Linked DNA regions of Elephas maximus indicus. The protein of the gene in region 3 interacts with the protein of the main gene of each other region in a pairwise test. Links are inferred from orthologs where the notes say so. Each region holds a gene or a part of one and is shown on either strand. Other genes may lie near its edges.

What was found.
Region 1: the proteins of DTX2 (region 3) and STX12 interact in binary tests that used the Homo sapiens proteins (3 or more experiments, as listed by UniProt). The two-hybrid records come from large-scale screens. The link is inferred for Elephas maximus indicus from reciprocal best matches to the Homo sapiens genes DTX2 and STX12.
Region 2: the proteins of DTX2 (region 3) and EIF4ENIF1 interact in binary tests that used the Homo sapiens proteins (3 or more experiments, as listed by UniProt). The two-hybrid records come from large-scale screens. The link is inferred for Elephas maximus indicus from reciprocal best matches to the Homo sapiens genes DTX2 and EIF4ENIF1.

The regions. Positions count from the first base shown.
Region 1 is NC_064821.1:68,157,933-68,165,902, reverse strand, and holds the start of STX12 (syntaxin-12), read right to left. Parts: upstream 3,099-7,970; 5' UTR 2,983-3,098; coding exon 2,865-2,982; intron 1-2,864. UniProt on the Homo sapiens protein: SNARE promoting fusion of transport vesicles with target membranes. Together with SNARE STX6, promotes movement of vesicles from endosomes to the cell membrane, and may therefore function in the endocytic recycling pathway.
Region 2 is NC_064840.1:24,716,382-24,723,859, reverse strand, and holds the start of EIF4ENIF1 (eukaryotic translation initiation factor 4E transporter), read right to left. Parts: upstream 3,099-7,478; 5' UTR 3,002-3,098; intron 2,807-3,001; exon of another isoform or gene 2,715-2,806; intron 2,045-2,714; 5' UTR 2,018-2,044; coding exon 1,922-2,017; intron 1-1,921. UniProt on the Homo sapiens protein: EIF4E-binding protein that regulates translation and stability of mRNAs in processing bodies (P-bodies). Plays a key role in P-bodies to coordinate the storage of translationally inactive mRNAs in the cytoplasm and prevent their degradation.
Region 3 is NC_064830.1:94,109,981-94,118,114, forward strand, and holds the start of DTX2 (probable E3 ubiquitin-protein ligase DTX2), read right to left. Parts: upstream 3,176-8,134; 5' UTR 3,041-3,175; intron 2,779-3,040; exon of another isoform or gene 2,649-2,778; intron 1,439-2,648; exon of another isoform or gene 1,354-1,438; intron 1-1,353. UniProt on the Homo sapiens protein: Regulator of Notch signaling, a signaling pathway involved in cell-cell communications that regulates a broad spectrum of cell-fate determinations.

The sequences.
Region 1 (7,970 bases), on a different chromosome or scaffold from region 3:
CCATCACTCTAGCCATATTGAATTATTCTGCTTTTCTATATACACCCCCTGCCTTCCCACTACCATGCTGTTCCTCATTTTATTCCCTCTTTCTGGAATACTCTTTCCTCTTTACCTTCAAAAATCCAAACCCTTACCACCATCTTTCCAACCAAGCTCAAATGCCTTCCCTGATTCCTCTCAAGTGAAAATGGTCTCCCTCTCCTGAATACCCACATAATGTTATTTGTACCTCTTCTATAGCACTGATTCCTTTCAACCTTACATTTTGGTTGTTGTGGTGCAGTGAAGTACTTAATATGGCCCTTCTAGCCATAGTCTTTGTGACTCCCACACAATGATTGGGTCCCCAATCTACTGCCATTGACTTGACTCTAACTCATAGTGACTCTTTAGGACAGAGTAGAACTCCAGTATAGAGTTTCCAAGGAAGAGCTGGTGGATTTGAACTGCTAACCTTTTGGTTAGCAGCCGAACTCTTAACCACTGCACCACCAGGGCTCCAATGATTGGGTAGGACCATGCAAATAAGGTGTATGGACACTAATGAGGGGATTGGTCAGTTTTGCCACCCTGCTAAGCTTAAAAGAGAGCCAATTCCAGAGCAGAGGGGGAATCTGACTACCACCAAGAAGAGACAGGAGCAGAGAGTGTCCTTTGGATGCTGGGTCCCTGCACTGGGAACCTCCTAGAACCAGGAGACCAAGAGACAGAGCTGTAACACCGAAGAGGGTGGCAGCATAGAAACAGCGGCAGCAGAGGCAGCAGAACCAGGAGGCCAGCAGGAGACTATGTTGTGGGTGTGTTGACCCACTGAGCGAGAAATCTGAGCACCCTCAGGTAAGAGGCTTGCTGGTGGGTTGGAGTGGCTCCGGACACTTGTCAGTAGAGCTAGGTTCGCTGACCCACGGAGCCAGAGCTGAACGCCTTCAGCCGAGGCTTACTAGTCGAGTTGGTTGCCTCCGGGCACTTACCAGGAGAGCTAAAGAGCTTTGTAACGCTTGCCCAAGCAGGGCAGAGGTCTGGCCAGCCCAAGAGGCCCCGGGCCGGGGGGTGAGCCCATGGGCCAGAGAGAGGCCTGCCTGCTGCACAACCGAGAAGAGGCTGTCCTGATCGAACAGCTGTATCCTGAGCGTTCCTCAGCCTCAGTTGTAACCTGTTACTTCCCTAATAAACTCCGTAACTGTGAGTTCTGTATGGCCATTGCAGTGAATTATCAAACTCAGCAGAGAAGTAGAAAATGCCATGGGAGGGGTGGTGTCAGAATTGGTAAAAAGTTGGAGAGGAGTTATGTCTGACGTCCACCTTACATGAATCAGCCGTGAGCTGTTGATGCTGACAATGAATCTCCTCCCTGCCTTGTGAAGTTGGATGGGGAGGTCAGACACCACCCCCATGCCATTTTCACAGTTGTTTATGAACTGCACAGGCTCCCTGGGGAAAGAATTTTGTTTCGGTTCCTCTATTTTCTATATAGCCTGATACTCAAACAAATATATGTTGAATGAATATTTCACAAATACACAGACATTAAAATTCGATTTAGCCTCAACAACAGCTTTCTGCCTTGAACCAGAATTTTCTGATCTAACCTGCATTACTGCTCCCTCACAAGAGAAAATTGGAGCTTTCTAACCAGTGGTCATATTAATCTTTTTTTTTTTTTTTAATTCTGGGTTTAACAGGATTATATTCTTCTTTCCACTTCCAAATCAGCCAGTCTCAATCCCTTCCCATCAGAAACTTTCTGCCTCTCAAGTTCCACAATCACCATTTAAATTGAAAAGCAAAGTGATAGATTATTCTTCAAAATATAGAACAAAATTGTAGTACAGGACCAACTAGTTCTACCTATTAACAGAGTACAGCCAAGCTCAAAAAAACACAATCATAAGCGACGATAATGATCACCATTTGTTCCAAGTAAAGTTGCTGCTGCCCACCTCCTGTTTACAAAGCTCTGAGCTGATTTTCAGGCCCAAGATACAGGTTGTATTTGACTCATTCAGCTACAGCCTCACTCAGACCCTAATGGTGAGGAGGGAGTTTTAGGACAAACAATGACATTCTGAATTTCACCACTACCTACCAAGTCTTACTTGCTATGTGATTGTCGCCAAGTCCCTGGACTTCTCTGTGCATCAGATTTGTTCAAGAGTAGCTAAATATTAAGAAGAACAAAAGCCTCATATGCTTGAAATCCAAAAATATACCCAAATCCTTTGTTACGAAAAAATAATAATAATGTAAATTGAAACGTTTTTGGTGAATCCTCTTCATTAAAACAGAAGTCATCTCACTCAAATACTAATCATCACATCTGATCCCTCAACTCATTTACAAGAATTATGTATAAGTCACCCGAAAACATACACTCTCCACTTCCTTTAATTGAAAGTTGCTGATTTCCTAGGAGCCAGTGGCTGAGCAGAATGTAAACCTAAAGCCTAAATCAGTAAACAACCTCCGATCCAAACTGGCCCAAGAAGAAAGCGAGGTGGGTAGGGGGAAAGCGGGTGACAGGAAAAACTCGGCTGACCACTGCGCCAAGTCCACGCATTCACTGCTCTCCAGGACACACACACACACCCCCACCCTAGGGCTGTTAGCTGTGCTGTTGAGGCCTCAGCACCGTGGCGACAGAACTCCTGAGAAGAAACTCGAGCTTCAGCAGCGGCTCGGGACCCTCGGGGAGTCGGGCCTGACAGATTAGGGGATGGCAGCCCGGCGGCCCCAGCGTGGAGAGTCCAAGACAGCCTCAGGTGTGGCTTTGGTCTCAGAGCCGGTTGGGTTCCGCGTCCCGGCAGCCTCACCAGGCCTGTCCCGGGACGGCCCCCGCCCCCCAGCCCAGTCCCCTGTCTCACTGGCTTGGCTGATCCGCTGGATGTTGCCGCTGCATGTCTGGATGATGCTGTTGAAGTCCCGGAGTGGGGGCCCTGAGGGCCCCGGGTTCCGGTACATGTGTAAGGGGCCGTAGGACATGATAAGGAGCTGAGACCGGCTCGCCCTGCGCGGTGCTCCAACCGGAAGCAGCTGTCAGACGGGACCGGCAACCTGACGGGGAAACCGGGCACAGAAAGGGCGTGGAAGGGGCTGAAGCTGCGTGCGCACTAGCTCCGCCCCCATGCAGCGCGCACGCGTCCGCCCTGCCCCGCCCCGCCCCGCCCCGCAGCGCGCGGGCGCCGCTGAAACCAAAGCCTGGGGAGAGTTTAGACTAGACGCGCGGAAACTTGGGGATGCGGGCTCCTGACGTCACATAATTGGGACTCGGCTACTTGGGTGGCGGTGTTGTTTCTTGCAAAGACACAGTGACAGGCGGCAAGAATTTTCGATTTGCATAAAATTGTACCAGATGATCTCAGCCCTGACATCCTTTTATGTTCTATTCTGAGAATTCAGGCCCAAATATGGGAAAATTCGATAACCTCGAAACCAAGCCCCTGAAATTGCTCGCTCCACTTCTGAACTCTAGGGCTTTGGTAGTATTTGCGGGGCACTTTCACGGTTCACAAACGATTTTCATTTTTCCCTCCACCCCTCTTGTAATTCCAAACAATAAAATAATATTTATTGAGCATCTACTATGTGTGAATCCTCACTGCAATTCACTTGTTGATAAGTTTTTTCACGGCAAGTCACGATGTTCTATCTATATTTTTAATCTTCAGAATAGATAATGGACAAATTTTTTAAAATCTTGAAGTAACCAGGCAAACTAAGCATTATTATTTTCCTTTTTACAGATGAGAAAATTAAGATCATAGAGATTCTCTTTACTGAAGTTTGACTGCAAAATCTGTACACTAAGCTAACTCCATCATCACCTATTGCCCTAAAGTTTATCCCCTTATTCTCAAATTCATTCTCCATGTAAACCCCTCCCAAATAGCCTCTTCATCTGTATCCCAGACGGGGATTTCTTGGAGAACTATAGTCCCAAAATGTAAAAATCATTCCCTTAAGTAATTTGGAGAATAAGACCTCAATGTTCCAGTAAGACTGCATTTTGTCAGTGAAAGGAAAGGCATGGGTAGGATTTTGATTTGGGAGGGAGTCAAGACACTGGAGGAGTGAAGGGGAGCTGGTAGTGTGCTTTCCTGTGTTCTCCAGCAGCCCTGCCCTAGGTTGCTGTGCAGTCTGTGGGGAACGGCAGAGAAAGAGGAAGCTGCTTCCCTGTGTTTACATATGTGGGAAGGGGCCCCAAATGGGTAAATGAGCCTGCATTCAGGCTCAGAGCTATTATAAGCAAGACTCTCTTTTTCTTTAGTGCATTTATGAGAACATTTCTTTCTTCATAGAAAAGGACATGACATTTGGGGCTCTTGTTTTATTAAAACCCTGTCATTTCTTACAATCCATAGTTTCATGTCAAGTCTTACAGAAAATTATATAAATTGTACGTTTTACTCATAAAATACTGTTGAGGATGTTTTCATTTACATTTTCATTACATTTGACACTGTATAAAGTAAAGTTGAAAAGTACTATCTTAATAATGGAAATGATACCAGAGATCACATGATAGAATTTTGCAAGACCAATGACTTCTTCATTGCAAATACCTTTTTTCAACAACATAAACAGCGACTATATACGTGGACTCCGCCTGATGGAATACACAGGAATCAAATCAACTACACCTGTGGAAAGAGATGACAGAAAAGCTCAATATCATCACTCAGAAGAAGGCCAGGGGCCAACTGCTGAACAGACCATCAATTGTTCATATGCAAGTTAAGCTGAAGCTGAAGAAAATTGGAACAAGTCCATGAGAGTCAACGTATACACCTTGAGTATATCCCACCTGAATTTAGAGAGCATCTCAAGAATAGATTTGATGCACTGAACACTAATGACCAAAGACCAGACGAGTTGTGGCATGACATCAGGGACATCATGCATGAAGAAAGCAAGAGGTCACTGAAAAGACAGGAAAGAAAGAAAAGACCAAAATGGATATCAGAAAAGACTCTGAAACTTGTTCTTGAACATCGAGTAGCTAAAGTGAATGGAAGAAATGATGAAGTCAAAGAACTGAAGAGATTTTAACGAGCAGCTCAAGAAGACAAAGTAAGGTATTATAATGACATGTGCAAAGACCAAAAGAGAAGAACATGCTTGACATTTCTCAAGCTGAAAGAACCGAAGAAAAAACTAAAGCCTCAAGTTGCAGCATTGAAGGATTCTATGGGCAAAATACTGAACTATGCAGGAACCATCAAAAGAACAAGAAAGGAATACACACAGTCACTGTACCAAAAAGAATTAGTCGCCGTTCATCATTTCAGGAGGTGGTATATGATCAAGAACCGATGGTAGTGAAGGAAGAAGTCCAAACTGCACTGAAGACGTTGGTGAAAAACAAGGCTCCAGGAATTGACAGAATACCAACAGAGATGTTTCAACAAACGGATGCAGCACTGGAAGTGCTCACTTGTCTATCTCAAGAAATTTGGAAGACAGCTACCTGGCCATCCAACTGGAAGAGATCCATATTTACGCCTATTGCCAAGAAAGATGATCCAACCCAATGCAGAAATTATGGAACAGTATCATTAATATCACATGCAAGTAAAATTTTGCTGAAGATCATTCAAAAGCAGCTGCAGCAGTACATCAACAGGGAACTGCCAGAAATTCAAGCCAGATTCAGAAGAGGACGTGGAACCAGGGGTATCATTGCTGATGTCAGATGGATCATGGCTGAAAGCAGAGAATACTGGAAAGATGTTTACCTGTGTTTTATTGACTATGCAAAGGCATTTGACTGTGTGAATCATAACAAATTATGTATAACGTTGCAAAGAATGGGAATTCCAGAACACTTAATTGTGCTCATGAGGAACCTGTACATAGACCAAGAGGCAGCCTTTGGAGCAGAACAAGGGGATACTGTGTGGTTTAAAGTCAGGAAAGGTGTGCATCAGGGTTGTATTCCTTCACCATACCTATTCAATCTGTATGCTGAGCAAATAATCCAAGAAGCTGGACTATATGAAGAGGAACAGGGCATCAGGATTGGAGACTCATTAACAACCTGCATTATGCAGATGACACAACCTTGCTTGCTGAAAGTGAAGAGGACTTGAAGTACTTACTGATGAAGATCAAAGACTACAGTGTTCAGTATGACTTACACCTCAATATAAAGAAAACAAAAATCCTCACAATTGAACAATAAGCAGCATCACGATAAATGGAGAAAAGATTGGCGTTGCTAAGGATTTCATTTTACTTGGATACACCATCAACAGCCTTGGAAGCAGCACTCAAGAAATCAAACAACACATCACTGCACTGGATAAATCTGCTGCAAAAGACCTCTTTCAAGTGTTAAAAAAGCAAAGATGTCATTTTGAGGACTAAGGTGCTCCTGACCCAAAGCATGGTGTTTTCAATCACCTCATATGCATGCGAAAGCTGGACGATGAATAAGGGAGACCAGAGAAGAATCCATGCCTTTGAATTGTGGTTTGGCAAAGGATGTTGAATATACCACGGACTGCCAAAAGAACAAACAAGTCTGTCTCGGAAGGAGTACAGCCAGAATGCTCCTTAGAAGCAAGGATGACAAGACTTTGTCTTACATACTTTGGATGTGTTATCAGGAGGGATTAGTCCCTGGAGAAGGGTAAAGTAGAGGGTCGTCGAAAAAGCAGAAGACCCTCAACAAGATGAATTGACACAGTAGCTGCAACAATGGGCTCAAACATAACGACCATGAGGATGGCGCAGGGTTAGGCAGTCTTCCTTCTGTTGTACATAGTGTCGCTGTGAGTCGGAATTGACTCCACGGCACCTAACAACAACAAAGTAAAGTTCAGTAAAGGTATTTATCGCCTAGGAATTGAAGTTACAGTTGTTTTTTTCCTCCATTTGAAATAAAAGTAGTTTCCATCTGTTCATCTTTCATAGCAGTAAATTTGTGCCTTATACATGCCAAATATTTATTGAACTCATACATAAATAATAAAAATAACTACCATTTCTTAAATACCTATTAGGCGCCAAGCAATGTGCACACATTTTACATACATTATTGCTAATCCCCAAGGTAAAGACCATCTGTGGTCTGACAAAATTAAGCTTATTAACTTGCTGCAGCCAGGGAGACTGTAAAACAAGTGGATCCTGGAACATCTCATCAAGCACAGGAAGAGACAGAGTTAGTTATTCTAGGCTTTGAGGGAAAGATGGAGGGTAGGTAAAACGTAAAAGAAGCAGTATTTTGATAGCCTCAAAGCACACCCAGGCTATGTATAATAGGATTGACATCAGGCCTGAACTAACTCAAAGGCTTGGGAATCCTGTTTCCTTGGAAACTACAATGTGAAGATAAATGTGGAATGTTGTATCTGGAAATCCCTTATCTGAAGCTCTGCACCTGGGTTGGAAATTGAAACTGCTTCTCTCTGTCAAAGTAACCCAGGTTCTCAAAGCAAGAGTAGAATGTTCCATTCTTATATAATTTCCAACAGCAAATTTTCTGAAAATCTGATTTTAGAAAATAAGGTTTCTCAGCACTCTGTCCTTGTGTTAATTAACAAAAACAGTTTTTCAAGTTGACACTCAGGAAGGCAAGATTAGCTCCTTGGTACAGACAAGGAAACTGGTATTCTCTAGAGATTATGGGTATTTGCCCAAGGTCATACAGTTGTTAAGTGGCAGAGCCAGGACTCATACATAACCTATGACCCAGAAAGTCTACTTCTAATTATATATGCAACAGAAATCCATACATATGTGTTCCAAAAACCAGGTATAAGAACGCTCATAGCAGCATTTAAAAAATGTCTTAGGCAACTGGACTAAACCAAAAGCAGTTTCCTGAATAAACTGAACACTTCGAAGGCCAGCGTAGCAGGGGCGGGGGTTTGGGGACCATGGTTTCAGGGGACATCTAGGTCAACGGGCATAATGAAATCTGTTAAGAAGACAGTCTGCATCCCACTTCGGAGAGTGGCGTCTGG
Region 2 (7,478 bases), on a different chromosome or scaffold from region 3:
TGGCAGAATTTGAAGGTCAGACTCAAAAATGGGCAATACTGAGCTTCTTAATCTTTGCTGGGGGCACGCATTAAGTTCTAACCTAAGAGAGACCAATATCTTCCCAAAACAGACTTATGCAGGAACATGGAAATATACGTGAAGATAAAATATACTTGCCATTCTCAGCTCACCGTGTGAAAGTGATTCAGGAAACTGTCTGCCTAGACTTCGGGAGTTCACTACCAGTCAGAACATCAATTCAAAAAGAGCTGTGAGATGTGAAACCACCTAAGCTTATAAAAGCAATTTAAACCAGTTTCTCTTCATCTGATAAGCTTTTCCCCATTCAGAATTCACCTGGCAACATTTTAGGTAATGAACTTAAGTTCTGAAACACTACTCAAGCACTCAGGTTTGAAATTACATTTGAAAGAACAAATCTGAATGCAGGACTAAAACGGAATTTTAAAAGCTTTCTAAAAGGATATTTTAACTCAAATTCTGTTATGCCAAAACAGATTGTGCTAAGGCAGCTATTAACCAGGAAATGTTTTATATCCCAAAACACTTTTTAACATGGATGGGCCCAGTTTTTTTTGTTTTAATGTTAAAAACGAGTATTACTCTGACAGTCATTTGATATTTTCTTCAATAGATAATAGTGGCACTGGTACACAAACAGGTCTGGCCTTAAAACAGTAACCAAGGAGTATCCTTGGAAGCCAGGGACAATAAGCCATGTTAAGAGTCCACAAATGAGTCCATGCTAAGGAAACATCACAGATCTAGACCCGAAAAGAACATCCTTCCCATCAACGGTCCCATCTGCTCTAACACTTGTCAGCACATTTTATGGACTCCAGCCCATGACAGGGACCCAGAAATGAAGTCACAGCTTCACTGTGTCTTTTCATCCTCTTTAAAAACATTCAGTAGCCAATGAGATAGTGAAACAACACTGTCAATAAATATCGCACCTTAATGTTTTCTTTCCCTCCTGGAAAAAGCAGATGTCTAGGCATGCAGTTTTTTAAAGTCACCCCAAGTTTTTAGCTAGGGGAAATAGGATTGAAGTCAGTTTTATCAGTCCATAACCAATTTGTAACAGGAAGTAAAATTAGCAGAACTTAGAAATCTGGTTACCCTGGCCAAGCACACTAAAGAGCATTTCTTTGGGGAGGTCAACTCTCAAGGAAACATCAACACAGAGAACACTGATTTGGGGAGGCATTAGAGCTGGGATTCTCACCATACAAGTAAGAATCATACTAGTTACACAGATGAATTACAGAACTTGCGTGACAAAGTATACCACCACCACCCGTTGCCATCAAGTCGATTCTGACTCATAGCGACCCTATAGAACAGAATAGACCTGCCCCACAGCGTTTCCCTGGAGCACCTGGCAGATTCGAACTGTCGACCCTTTGGTTAGCAGCTGTAGCACTCAGCCACTATGCCACCAGGGTTTCCTGACAAAGTATAACCAAAAAACCAAACCAAACCCAGTGCCGTCAAGTCAATTCCAACTCATAGCAACAGCAGAACTGCCCCATAGAGTTTCCAAGGTGCGCCTGGCGGATTTGAACTGCCAACCCGTTGGTTAGCAGCTGTAGTGGTTAACCACTATGCCACCAGGGTTTCCTGACAAAGTATACCCACTGCCGCAAAGTATAGGAATCCATAAATTCATATGAGATCTGAACTCATGTTCCCTTCACCTGAAAGCTACTTAGAAGCAATTTTTTAAAACTCTTGGTAGTCATAATTCCAGGAAAATGTTCAAAGCGATGCTTTACTAAACCTAGTCATTATTTAGTCCGTACAGTGGATCGGAATAAGACCACTACCACTTCAGATGATGCTAATAAATGCCTACACAATGTTACTAACCTCCTGGCCTACAAAGCAACACTATTTCATTAGTATCAAAGCCTACTTTTGTATAGCGATGGGGGGATTTGGAGGGCGGCAGCTTCTTCGGGTCAAGGAAAGCATCTCCATTTTCTGTTTCACCCACACTTCTCCTATCCATGGCTCCTCGGTCTACAATTCTTTGCACCTGGAAAATAAGCCAGCACAAAATTGTCGCCGAGAATATTATGTTTTCTTAAGTCTTGACTATTTAAGAATTGAAACTTTTTTATCTCTTAAGAAGGGAGGTTTTAAAAGCAAACCTTCACTAAAAAAAAAGAAAAATATCCTCACCCAACAATTACGCTATAAACCAGAACCCACTTGGAAACAGAACCACTGGTGCTCGGTTACCGCTCCCAGTAAAGTATCCCAAGCACCAACAGTGTAAGGAAAGCAGAGGTAGAAGGTGCCCAACTCAGGGTACAGTCTTTAAACAGCTTCAATACAAAAAGAAACCAAGATTAGTCGCTGCCACCCATGGGGACCATTTGAATGGTGGTGGGGGAAATACCCCGGAGGGGGCAGGTAGGAGGCTGGCTAAGGCAGGGGATCCGGGAACTCGGGCTGTTGTAAAGTGCCTGTCACTTGCCAATGGACGGCGCCAGCTGCCCTTTATAAGCCGACAACCAGGGACTGGGGACAGGGCCCGAGCGCCCCTCGCCGGGGCCGGCCGCACCTGTGGCCATGTCAGGGGCGCCCAGAGCAGAGAAGGGACAAGCGTCGATTTCCCGGGCCGCGACCCCCCAACCCCTGTTCCTTGGCTTAGGCCCCGGCCGGGTGGCCTCCTCCGGAGGAAAGGCGAGGACGGTACTCACGGAGAGGAGGCGGGCCGAAGGGAGCGGGGAGGCCGAGTACCCCGGCCTGGGCGCTCCAAGCTGGAGCCGGCGCAGGCCCGCCGCCGTCCGCCCCGGCCCGGCCCGGCGGCTCGGGCCCCGCCAGCCCGCCCGCTGCCCGCCGGCCGCCCGGCTTGGCCTCGCGCCCCTGCCCGCCCCCCGCGCGCGTCCCGGCGCCCGAGCTCATGCACGCGACCCCGGGAGCGGCGCGCCCGCGTCCTTCCCCCGGTGGGCCGAGCGCGCGCCCCGGGACCGCCGCCGGCCCTTACTCGGCTCCTCCGTCGCTCGGCGGCCCTCCGGCCGGCCGCCGCTTCCTGCCCCACCGCCCGCGCGGGTCTGAGCGCTGCGCCCGCGGCCTCGGCTCGGCCCCCCCACCCGCCCGGGCTGTCTCTCCTCAGCCGCCGTAACCGCGGCCCGGCCCTCCGCCCTCCGCCCTCCGCCCCCCGCCCCGTCCCCCTCCCCCTTAGTAACTCCCTCCACGCCCGGGCCCGGCGCCGCCGTCGCGCCCGGATGTGAGGTGGCCGCCACGCTGCCGGGCGGAAAACAGCGGGTCGCGGCGCGCTCCTGGGCGCCGGGCCTCGAGCGGGCCGCCGGCAGGGACGGGGCGCCTGGGCGGCGGCGGCGGGGCGGCGGGGCGGCGGGGCGGCGGGGCGGCGGGGCGGCAGCCCCCCTCCGGGCGCGCAGGCGGTCGCCGCGGGCAGCCCCAGCCAGCCAGCCGTGTTCCCACGCGCGGGGGGGGCGGCGCGGGGCCTGCGATGCCAGCCGCCTGGTGTCCCCGGACGGCGGTGGCCGCGAGGTGGGCCCGGTGCAGCCTGGCGCGGCCGCCCCTCGTTAGCACGCTCGTCTGGGCGGAGGACCTGAGGCTTCGGCAGTGGGCATCTGAGTTAGACGAATTCGGGGGTTTGGGGATCTTCCATGCCCGAGCTCGAACCTCTGGTCTTTTTAATACTAGTGGTGTGATTTGCGCAAAGCTCTGACTTATCCGAGCTTCACTTTTCTCTTTTCTGAAAATGACCTCTTTATAAAGAGGATTTGGGGAGATCACGCGTTGCTGCATTAATAACCAAATTTGCTACGACTGATTTTGATCGAGATAAGGGCGACTGACAATTTTTTTGAAATATATTTTCCCACCCATAACCTGCACAGGGAGAGGAAGTGCAAGTGTGGTTTGGGGAAAATGAGACGGTGAAGGTCAAGTGCTCAGCACGTGTTGCCGAGACTTAGGCTGACGGGGCACAGAAATTGAAATAGAAGTTCCCTATTTGGAGCAGTGCAAGCAACTGCCTTGCTGGGAAGGAGTGGTCAGAGGTTTGACAGACGAGGTCACATCTGAGCCTGGCCTACAGCAATATAATATGAGATGATGCATAGGCGTGGAGGGAAATGTGATTTTTCACGTGAAAGGGCAACGAAGCCTTCATTTCTTTGAAGGGGCCTATTTTCTTTGAGCTTCACTTTCTTCACTTGTGAAATCGGGATTGGAGTATGAGATGAGTTACCACTCATCTTTTCCTCTCTGACAGTTTGTAACAACCTGTGAGACTTGGCAAGAGGAAACAATATTGAAAACGTTTTTCTTTTCTTCCTGTAATATTTAATAAAATGTGTTTCCTACAAATTTTCTTCACGGAGTCAAAAGAGAAAAACATTTCCAAGTAGACATCCAAGCTCTGCCACCCCCTACAGGCAGTGGAAAGTAACCAACCAAAAACCTCATACAGTTTCCAAGGCTGTAAATCTTTATGGAAGCTGAAGGCCACGTCTTTTCTGCTTCTGGTTAGCAGCCGAGCGCTTTAACTACTGCACCACCATGGCTCCTTGGGGAAAGTTAGGCAACTTATTTATTCTCAGCCTTGGTTTTCTCATCCATAAAACTGAGAGGATGATAATCCACTGTCCTGGCAGTTGTCAAGATTAAATAAGGTGAGTTAAAAGCCTTATACAACTTCCATAAAGCTTTTTTTTTTTTTAAACCTTATACACAATACAGCACAAACAATGGTCTTTTTTATTCATTACAAATCAAGCCTGCTTTGGAATCCAGGTTCTTCCTAAAGGTAGAAGAAACGGGTCTAATCCCCTTGCCATTATGAAGTAGTGGAGAAGGCCCATTCTTTGAGCTATTAAATCCTGGCTCTGCTACTTATTAGTTCAGTGTGAAACCTCAGTCGTTTCACCCCTCTGGAATTTGGTTTTCTCATCTGTCAAACAGGGATGACCATACCTGCTTTTAGGCTTGTAGAGGAAATTAAGATAACATGTTACAAACATTGTTTCAGTTATCTATTGTTGTATAACAAACCACCCCCGAAAATTTAGTGACTTAAACCACCATTTATTTTGCTCATGAATGCAATCTGGGCAGGGTTCAGATGTGGCAGCTCAAACGCTCGAAGCTAGATTCATGTGATGGCTCGCTTACATGCTTTGGCTTTCAGATGGGACCATGGGGGCTATTGGCTGGAACACTAGATATGGCCACTCCATTGTGACACAAGCTGATGGCTGCATTCAAAGGGCAAGTGTCCAGAGAGGAGAGAGCCAGATGCTGTACTGCCTTTTCTAACCTAGCCTTGAAAGTCACTAAGTGTCAGTTCTGTCACATGGCACATTCTCTTCCTTAGATGGGAATCGCTAAGACTGGCCTATATTTAAGGGGAGTAGAATTAAATTCAAAGAATTTGTGCACCTGTTTTAAAACTACCACAAATCATGAATGAAATAAGTTTGCAGCGCATCACAGCTATGATTCTGGTCTGGCTGGAGATAATTTCCTGCACTGCAGGCACGTGTGTGTGTCTGTATTCACAAGAGCCCTGGCAGTGCAGTGGTTAAAGTGCTTGGCTGCTATCCGAAAGGTCATCAGTTTGACCCCACCAGCTGCTCCTCGGGAGAAAGACACCGACCGACCCGCAGTCTGCTTCTGTAAAAACTACAGCTTTTGACACCTTACGGGGCAGTTCTACTGCCCTATAGGGTCGCTATGAGTTGGAACTGACTCGATAGCAATGAGTTTGATTTGGGGTCTATGCTAGCTAAGACCTGCTCTTCCACCAGTCTCTTCTTTATGCCTGTAGGACTCTGGCCTCATCTCACTTACCTCTCAAAATCTCTATCGTTGTAAAAAAAAAAAAAAGCAATTATCACCTCGGAATAAATGTGATAATTTACTAAGGGAGTCCATCTATAAACTTTTACCTGTGCACCATGCAAAAGGTAGATGCTTGCAAATCCTTGTTTCATTGTAGCTATTGAATGTTATTCTTGGCAGGGATAATTTGTAATTCTAAATGCTGCCTTTTGCAACTAATAATCAATTTTCAAATTACAGTATGATGAAATCCTTCTGAAAGGGTAAGAGGAACAGAGAGATGATTTATCCTGGTTCTGTACTAAACATGTGTTAAGATACTGACTTAGGTTTGAATTGTTAGTTCAACGATTGGCATAAGGGGACTCAAAGGTTCAGTCATTTGGGGGAAATGAGCAGCCCATTAGAGAAGCAAATTAAAATATCGGAAACTTAGAAATTACAAGAGCACCTGTGAGAGTGCTTAACGCTGGGCCATTACCCTCAGCACCCTCATTTCATTTCGCAAAGCTAACACCTCAACTGTCCTGAGCTTCTCTAAATTGGCTGTTTCTTACTCGGTTTTTCTTGCTCTAAGGATAATTCCTGTTTGAAGAAGCCAGCTGTGGAATTATAGCCTCAGAGTATGGACTGAAAAGACATTAGAATTTACTAAAGGACTTCTGGAAGATTACACAGCAAATTTATTGGCGGAAACTAGACCCCTTCTGGCACCTTCATCTTTGATTTTATATATAGAGAAGTACTTAATACAAAGTCTGACACCAAGTAAGTGCTGCTGTACTAGCGATTGTTATTATAAACTATCTTCCTATCTTCTAATCTTTCCTGGCAGGACTATTTTCATTATAACTTATGGGGAAATGTCTTTCATTCCTTCCTAAATGAGTCAAAGCTGAGGGTGGTGAATGCTCATAACAGGAAGAAAGTATCAGCAAATCAGCTAAAATCACCTAGAAAGCATGCTTGTTGATTATCCCAAATTACATAACTAATATGGGTTTTTTGTTTTCTGGGATATGTTATTGTATAACTTATATAACTGTGATTTGTATAAAAGAGCATATAAGAAAAACTAACTTTACAGTGTTGATAAGGAGGACTTTGAAACCAAATTAAATTTTAAAACTCTACTTGGCCATGTAATTCCTGATAAGAATCCTCCCTAAAAAGATGGCTCCCTAAAGTCTCCATTTAAACACTTCCTTTTAAATTACAAAGATTAATATACGTAGAAGATAGAGCAAAAGAACGAATTACCTGAGATTCTAATCCCGATACCCAACAATTATATTGCCTCATCTGTTTTTAACATAGTCTCTCAAGCATTCTGATGCATAACGGTAGACTTTGCTCTCTCCACCAGAAATGCCACGTTCTTTCAAAATGATGTTTATCAAAATGTCCCACCTACGTCCATCATCCCTTAGATTATCAAAGCAGACCCAAATTAAAGAACGTATTTACATCCCGAACGATTACCCACCCACTGCCTTCGAGTCCATTCCGACTCATAGCGACCCTACAGGACGGAGTAGAACTGCCCCCATAGTTTCCAAGGAGCGCCTGGTGGATTCGAACTGCCGACCTTTTGGCTAGCAGCCGTAGTGCTTACAAATTACTTTTTAAAGGAATAATTATGAGATTAGCCC
Region 3 (8,134 bases):
CAGAATAAAATTCAAACTACTTAGGTTGACATTCAAAGCCCATAATAACCTGGTCCCTCCCTACCCACCTATATTTGCCAGAGTTACTTCCCTTCAATAACCTCTCTCATCTACACCTCCCTTCCCCAATCCCTCCAAAAGCATTTAAGTGATAACTTTCTCCCCCATATACTTCCAGCATTTCCCCACCTCCACGTCTCTGCTTTACCCAGAATCCCATCTACTTAACAACCCAGCCTCAACTTACCTATACTTTCAAAACCCAATTTAAACAGCACCTTGATGAGTGCAACAGAAAGTAGCTACCCCCTTAAAACTTGCACAGCACTGTCTTTCCTCTACATTTCTCCATTTTATCTCTTCAACTAGCCTATAGCAACCTGAGGGTAAAACCTCACGTCTACCTCCCACTACCAGAAGCTGGCATGGTATAAGGAGATAGTCAAGAAGATAGGTGAAAGAATGGCAAAAGGAATCACAAGGCTTAAAAGCAAAGAGATTAATCTAATCCAATGTATGCCACACTTTCCAGCCAGGGTGCTCTTTTAAAACGCCCATCGTGTTCTGCTCAAAATCCTTTCGCTCCCCAGAGCAATGGCATGGCTTACAAAACCCTCCATATTCAGCCCCCTGCCTCCCTTTCCAGCTTCCTGTGCCCTGCACCCACCCTTTGTTGTTCCAGCCACACTGCACTTCTTACAGTGCCTGTGTCTAACAATTTCACGACTTCGTCTACCCCGAAGCCCAGCCACGCTGTTTCTCCACACTTCCAAAATCCTACTGCCCCTTCCCAACCCACCTCAGCTATCAGCCCCTACAGTAAGTCTTCCTGGCTCTCTCTTCTCCCTCTTCCCTTCCTGGATCAATCTGAGGCCTCTGCCTGGTGCTTCCCCTGCACCTCAACAGGTATCACACTGACAACACTGTTGTGGCTGTCGTTTGTCTATCTCTTCCACCCAACAATGAGCTCCCACAGGGCAGAGATCTTGTTTCTCATCATTGTACCCCCAGCACTGAGAACATGGCTTGATAGAAAGGAGGCACCCACTAAAGGTTATGTGACAAAGAAAATTTTCCAGTTCAAATATAGAAATCGTGATTCCGTCCTTCATCCCATTAAGTATGTCTTAAAGTGGAAATCATGTGGAAAGCATCCTCTAAGACTGGCTAAACTGGAGAAGCAATTAGCAAGAAGCCACTTTAATTTATCTGAGTCAGCTGGCAATCAACAATCAACTTCCCAAGGCTCACTTTTCATCCTGGAGCCCTCAAATTCCACCCTCTTCAGTCCCTACCTTCTCTGTTGAAAATGAAATTGTGAAGGCAGCAAAATGAAGTCGCCATGGCTCTCACCTTTTCTCTAAGGAGAGCTGGCACAAACTCCCTTCTTGATGGAGACACCAGATCGTTAGCAGGAATAACTTGTTTGAGTTCCCATCTTGATATAAAAAGCAAACAACAAAAAACAGGCAAATGTGAAAGGCTTGCTGACTCTGCGACACACATTCCAAGGCACCTTTGCCGGTAAGAAAGGAGAGATCAGGTTTTAAATTGAGAAACAGCAGTTAGTGAAAACGAACGCACAGATGCTGGATCCGTGTGCTGCAGCTCGGGAAAAGGACAAACCATCAGATTTCCCAACTCAGCCTGGGCAGAGCAAGAAGGTACAGTAGTCTCCCTCCACCCACTCAACAGTCAAGGGCATAGTTCAATACACACACACACACACACACGCTTTTATACCTGCTTGTATCCAACCAAAAAAAAAAAAAAAAAAACTGTTGCCATCGAGTCGATTCCAACTCACAGCGACCCTACACAACAGAGGAGAACTGCCCCATAGTTTCCAAGGAGTGCCTGGTGAACTCAAACTGATGACTTTTTGGTTAGCAGCCGTAGCTCTTAACCACTACACCACCAGGGTTTCTGAGCCCTTGAATAAACGAGGACCAAACCCACTGCCGTCGAGTTGATTCCGATTCATAGCGACCCTACCTACAGGACAGAGTAGAACTGCCTTACAGAGTTTCCAAGGAGCACCTGGTAGATTCAAACTGCAGACCTTTTGGTTAGCAGGCGTAGCTTTTAACCACTACGCCACCAGGGTTTCCAGCCCTTGCTTAGAAGGCCTAAAAGGATTTCATAACCCCGTCTACAGTGCAGACATCCAGGAAGTCAACACACCAGATGGTAAAAGTTTGGCCATGGTCACAAAGCAAATGAATAAGAGGCTTACTTAACCTGATGGCTCAAGTAAGGCCTGATTTTGGCTACCAGAAATTCTACTTTCCAGAATTCTAGAGGGGCTAGGATAGCATGCAGAAATATTTTGAGTTTTCTTTTAATTCATGGTCCAAGAGTCTGTACACACCCTATGTCTACAGCTGTGGGCGCTAAGGGAAGTGGAACCTGTGTGGAAGGCAGCAGCAGACAGAGAAAGGAAGGATGAAAAAGAATAGCTCCAGAAAAAGGAAGAGTCTTTTAAATCCTCTTCAGCATAGTTTACAGATCACCCAAAAGCGACCAGGAAACAGCTTCCGGGAAAGAGAACCCCACTTGAGAGGAGGGAAACTGAGTTACGAAGTAAAGTCTTCCAAAGCACAACCCCGGGTCCCAGTTAGTCCTTCACCTGGCGGCAGACCTCATACCCTAATCAGGTAGCCCGGTGGCAATGCCACCACCTCCTCCAGGTCCTAGCGGAAAAGGGCGCACGTCTCCCGACGGACTCCAACTCTTAGGGTCTGTGCCCCTCCCCCTGCAGCCTTTCAGCTTCTAACTAAGCGTTCACCCTCCTCCCCGGCACCCAGTCCTGTCCTAAGCCCCTAGCGCCTCCCAGTTCCCCCAACTTCCGCCTCTGGGACCCCCAGCCCGGAGGCCAGTCCTCCCAGCCCCAGACCCTCACCCCCAGGGCTCCGGGACCCCAGCACAGCCCTTCCTCACTCCCACGCCTCCCCCTTCCGGTCCCAGCTCGGCTCAGTCTCCCCCCGCCCCTGGGACCCCAACCCAGGCGACGGGCAGACGACCTGCCCGTCCCTCTCACCAAAGCTGAGGCGGGAGAGGAGGACAGGTTGAGGGGAACGCTGGCGCTCGCGCTGGGACTCCGGCTTCACCTGGGCAGCACTCCAGTTAAGGATCCGACTCTGAGGAGACAGCTAGAGTGAAACTCGGCGTCGCAGCTTCCGAGCGCTCTGTACGCATGCCCACGACGCGCGGTCTTCTGGGAAATGTAGTTCCGGCGGGACAGCGGGCACAGGGATGAAAGCAATTCGCACCTGTGCAGGTCTAAACTCACTCTTCACCTATTCACTTGTGACTTCTTTAATTCACTGACTCGTTCGAAAGAATTTGTTTTGTTTTTTACCAGTACTATATGATGCCAGGCCCTGTGCTGACTAAAAAAAAAATATTGGAGGTTAAATGGTCAAAGTTCGTTTCTCTCCTGGGAGAACTTCCTATCTTGTTGGAGAGACAGACACTTAAACACACAACTACAATCTAGGGCGATAAATGCTGTGATAAAGAAGTGGAAGCCAGAAAGAGGTGTGCCTAACTTTGGGTGGGGGTTGGTAGTCACGAAGATTCACAAAGGAGATGACCTCTGAGGTGGATTTTGAAGTAGGTGGATTTTGATGTGCAAAGGAAGAGAGATATGAAAGTTCTTGACACATTCAGGAACCAGTGAAAAGTTTCAAAGTTCCCTGTGGCCCTAAGGTAAAAGCAGAGGGCTGGAGAGGAGGGGGAGGAAGGAGACAATGGGTTAAGTGTGGCAGGCTATGAATATGGAGAGAGGGCTGAGTAAGATCATGATGGACTTTAAAAGTCATGCAAGGAATTTGGGCAACTGGAGCCAATGGAAATATTTAATCGGGAATGAAAGGGTCAGCAGTGCAGTTTAGAAAGATGCCCTGTGTGGTAAGCGGAGGATCTATTGGCGAGGAGGAGAAAGGAGGTGGGGAGACCAGAGGCTATTGCCATAGTCCTGACAGAAGATAATAAGGCCTGAAACCAGGCTGGTGGCTTAATCTCTTGAGATCACACACCTCCTTTGAAAAACTAAAGAAAGCGACTCTCAGAAAAAAGCTCAAATGTGAATGTTTACATCCATAGACCATTTCGCAAGCCCTTTCAGGAAACGCAGGGTCTTTGGAATCTTGGGCTGGCTACATGCAGTTAAGTATCTTTACATGACCTAATGTACTCCTACCTTATCAGGAATTTAACACAGATTCAGACTGCTGGAGAAGGAGGAAGAAACCTTGCCTCTCATTCAGCTTAAAAGCTTCATTTTATAAAAGAGGAAACTGAAGCCCAGAAGGGGGGAGTAGCCTGCCCAAGGTTAGTGAAGAAAGAATCTGCAGCAGCCCCAGTCTCTGGTTCCTAGGCCAGGACCTTTTACAGCCTGAGAGCTGCCTTAGAGGACACAGACCTTGGGTCTGGGGAGGCCCCAATGTCAGATTTACACAATTACTCTCAGAGCATAATTCATGGAAAAATGGAGGGTGGCACTCTACCTGTGATTTATACTAGGTACCTGCAGTGTCTATATTAGGACGAAAACTTCTCACTTCCCCTTGGAGAGCCTCAGTTCTCTCAACTGTAACCATCTATAACATTTCTAAAGTACTTAGTATGTACGTGGCATGCATCACCTCATTGAATCCTCTCAATGAAGTAGGTACTATCATTATCGTCCATTATAAAGACTACAGTACCGAGGCACAGGGCTTAAGTAGTGTCTCTAAGATCATACAGTTGGCAACTAGCAGAGCAGTTCTTTAAATCCAGGTAGTATCTAACTCCAGACCTGAGCACCCCAATATGGTTGGCCTCGTGGTGAGCAGGGGTAGCGCAGATGAAATGGTCTGAATCATTAGAAAAGCCTTTCTACACTGAAAAGCTATTTTCTGACGATTTCGTTTTTCCTCAGTAAAATGCTGGAGCAATGGTTATTGCCCAAGAACCCCGCTGCACACACACACACCTACACTCTCAAATAGGCAGAGCAATGGCAGGAGGCTGGGTTGGAAAGTTTCTGGAACCTAGGCTCATGGGGGAAGAACCCTGCTGCCACTGAGATGATCCCATGTGTGCGGACTAGGACTGCACTTCATCAGGTTTTCAAGACTGACCTTTTGGAAGCAGATTTCCAGACCTTTCTCCTGAGGCACCTCTAAGTGGTTTTTGAACTGCCAGCCTTTCAGTTAGAAGTCAAGCTCTTAACTGTTCGCATCCCCAGGGATTCCTGGGGAGGGGAGGGAACTTCAGGTTCAGAGCTGGAGGCTTGATGAGGTCCTCTAGTTGTGGCTGGAGAGGCCAAGACTGGAGACCAATGTGAGAGTCCAGGATAAGGCCCAGGTAGAGAAGTCCCACAGCTCCCATAGAGGCAGGAAGTAGGACACGACCTGGTAGATTGGGTGGATGAGAATACCCTCCCATGAGGCAGAGAACAGAAGAAAAGGACCAGCTCCAGGGAGTTGACAAGTTAAAGAGTGTGAGGTACAGGAGGGGTGGGAGATAACTAGGTATGAGTCTCTAGAAAGATGTGGGCTGGAGATAGGGAATTTGGAGTCACAGGCAGTGAGATGGAGATCACCCAGAGAGACCACAGAGGACAAGAAAAGCTGAGTCTAGGACAAGGCTGAGGAACACTAGCTTTTGAAGAACAAATGAGAGGTAGAGTAGCCTGAGAAGGAAGCTGGAGAGTGGCTGAACTAGTGGACACTGGGTGTGCACAATATCAGAGAAACTAAAGGGAATGTCTCATGAAGGAGGTGGTCAGTGCTGTCACATACACCTGAGAGGCCCAACAAGCTGGTCCCCTGGAAGGGGAGCCTAGGCCACAACATAGAGCTCCTACCTCTGGTCAGGGGTTCTCTCATCTTTTAGTTGGCCAGATGACTTCAAGAAAGGTCCCAAACCTCAGGCTTAGCTACAGGAAGGTTAGCATAGAATGGTTTCTGTTGTACAGTAGAGGCTCAAGCACATGTCTCTGGGTTGTGAAGTTTAGGAATGGAGTCTGGAAGCGTAGCCAGCTCTTCTAACAAAAATCTTTGTGTTTCCTGATGTATTTGGAGGGGGGGGGCAGATGACAGACACATGTGGGTGGAGTGATACAATTTACATAACATTGCCTATGGCTGTTCATGTGCAGATGGTGCCTGGAAGCACACTAGCCAAAAAGGGGCGATGGCAGGTGATTTTTACTTTCTTTGTACTTTTTCTATATCATTTGAGTGTGTCCCAATGAATGGTTTCCATTTTTATAACTGGAAAAGGACTAGCTTTATTTGAGAAAAATAAAGAGTTCTGGTTATAAAAAGAAGCAAAATAGGGCAGCAGCAAGAGGGAGGTTGGGGGGCATGGACTTTGATTTTTCAGGCCAGAGGGAACTGAGCATGTTCTGAGGCTGCTGTAGGATGTTCTTGGGAACCTGGAAATGAGGGAACAAGATTGGCCACTTGAGAACTAAACTTTAACCCAACATACACAGCAAAGGCCCAGAAACAACTTAAATGCCTCACAGAAGGGGGTTGGTTAAATAATCCTGGAACACTAGGTAGCCCTTACAAAGAACAAGGAAGACTCCCAGGTGCTGATCAGGAACAGACTGCCAAGGTCTTTTGTTAAGTGAAAAAAGAACTTTCATAACAGAGGGTAGATTAGAAGGTACACATATTTGTGTTTAAAAGAAAAAATGCACATAGACTTGGAGGCATTGAAAGTTTCTGGTAGGAAACTCAAGACCCTAGGAGAAGTCAGGGGATGGCCTGAGGACTCTTTTTTTTTTTAATTTACTATGTAACCGAACCGAACCCACTGCCATCGATTCCATTCTGACTCAGAGTGACCCTACAGGACAGAGTAGAACTGCCCCATAGACTTTTCAAGGAGCGCCTGGTGGATTCGAACTGCCAACCTTTTGGTCAGTAGCCATAGCACGTAACCGCTACACCACCAGGGTTTCTAATTTACAATGCCCTCATGCTGGAAACCTTGTCCTATAGGGTCGCTATGAGTTGGAATTGACTCAGCAATGGGTCTGGATTTTTTTTTCCATGCTATTTTTTTCTAAAAGAAAATTTTGAGTGCCACAGCACACAGCAGGGCAGGTTAAGCATACTTTGCCTGGAAGTGCTCAGCATAGGTGTGAATGGGAGCAGAAATGTTCCTGGCTGGGGTACTTTGTCCTCAATTGTCTGCCAGGGGTGGGGAGGGGTCTTTTCTTCTGTCTCAAAGGCTTAGGTTTGAGTCACCTATGCATGGATGACTCAAGAAAGAATGTGGCTGTTAGCCATGGAATGGGGAGTGGTTGTGGCCAAGGAAGTTTAGATTAAAAAAATGAACTTTTAAATCCTCTCTAGGTGGCAGAGTTACAGCCTCCAAGGGTTCCAATCCCGGAAGCAGCCCCAGGCTCACCTGGGAGCAAGAAAAGATCAACACACACCTGAGAAAGGGCAAGACGCTGGGGCCAGCACTGCTGATAATGGACTGAGAGCTTTCTGATGTTCTGTTTGGAAAGGCAGAATTTTGTTGCTTAGCACCTCAGCTAATTGGTGTCCATCTGACACTCTGGAGGGATTGGGGCTGATTAAAAGCCACGGCTGCTTTGCTCATTATTCCTGATTAATGGACAGCACCTGGCCACTCTGGGTGAAGGCAAAGACGCCTGCCCAAGACCCAGGTATGGCCTACACAGGTGACAAAGACACGATGGCTGAACAGTCCTAAGGAGTGAAGCCGTCTTCCTTAAAAGCATTGAATTATGTAGGTCCCAGCCCTCGGAATACATTCAGAACTGGCTCGTCCCTTTTTGCTGGTTCTCTTGCTGCAAGGCTGAAATTAGCTGCAAGTTGTGGTCATAGTTAATCCATCTGAGAAGTTTGTTTTAACACTAAGCAACCACACTGAAGCCATGCCCCCCACCGCTCAGTTAGTATTCTCATTGTAAATTAATACTCCAGCATCTTGGCTTGGGATCTATGAATTGCCCAAGAGAAGGGGTCAGTTGTGGGATGTGAGCAAGTCAGGCTTCTGAGCTTAAAGGTTGAGGGCAAGAGGACCCTTGGGAGACACAGCTTTATCTTTCTGATGGTCTCCAACTTGCCCTGAAAACTTCCATTAGCCCACTGGAGAC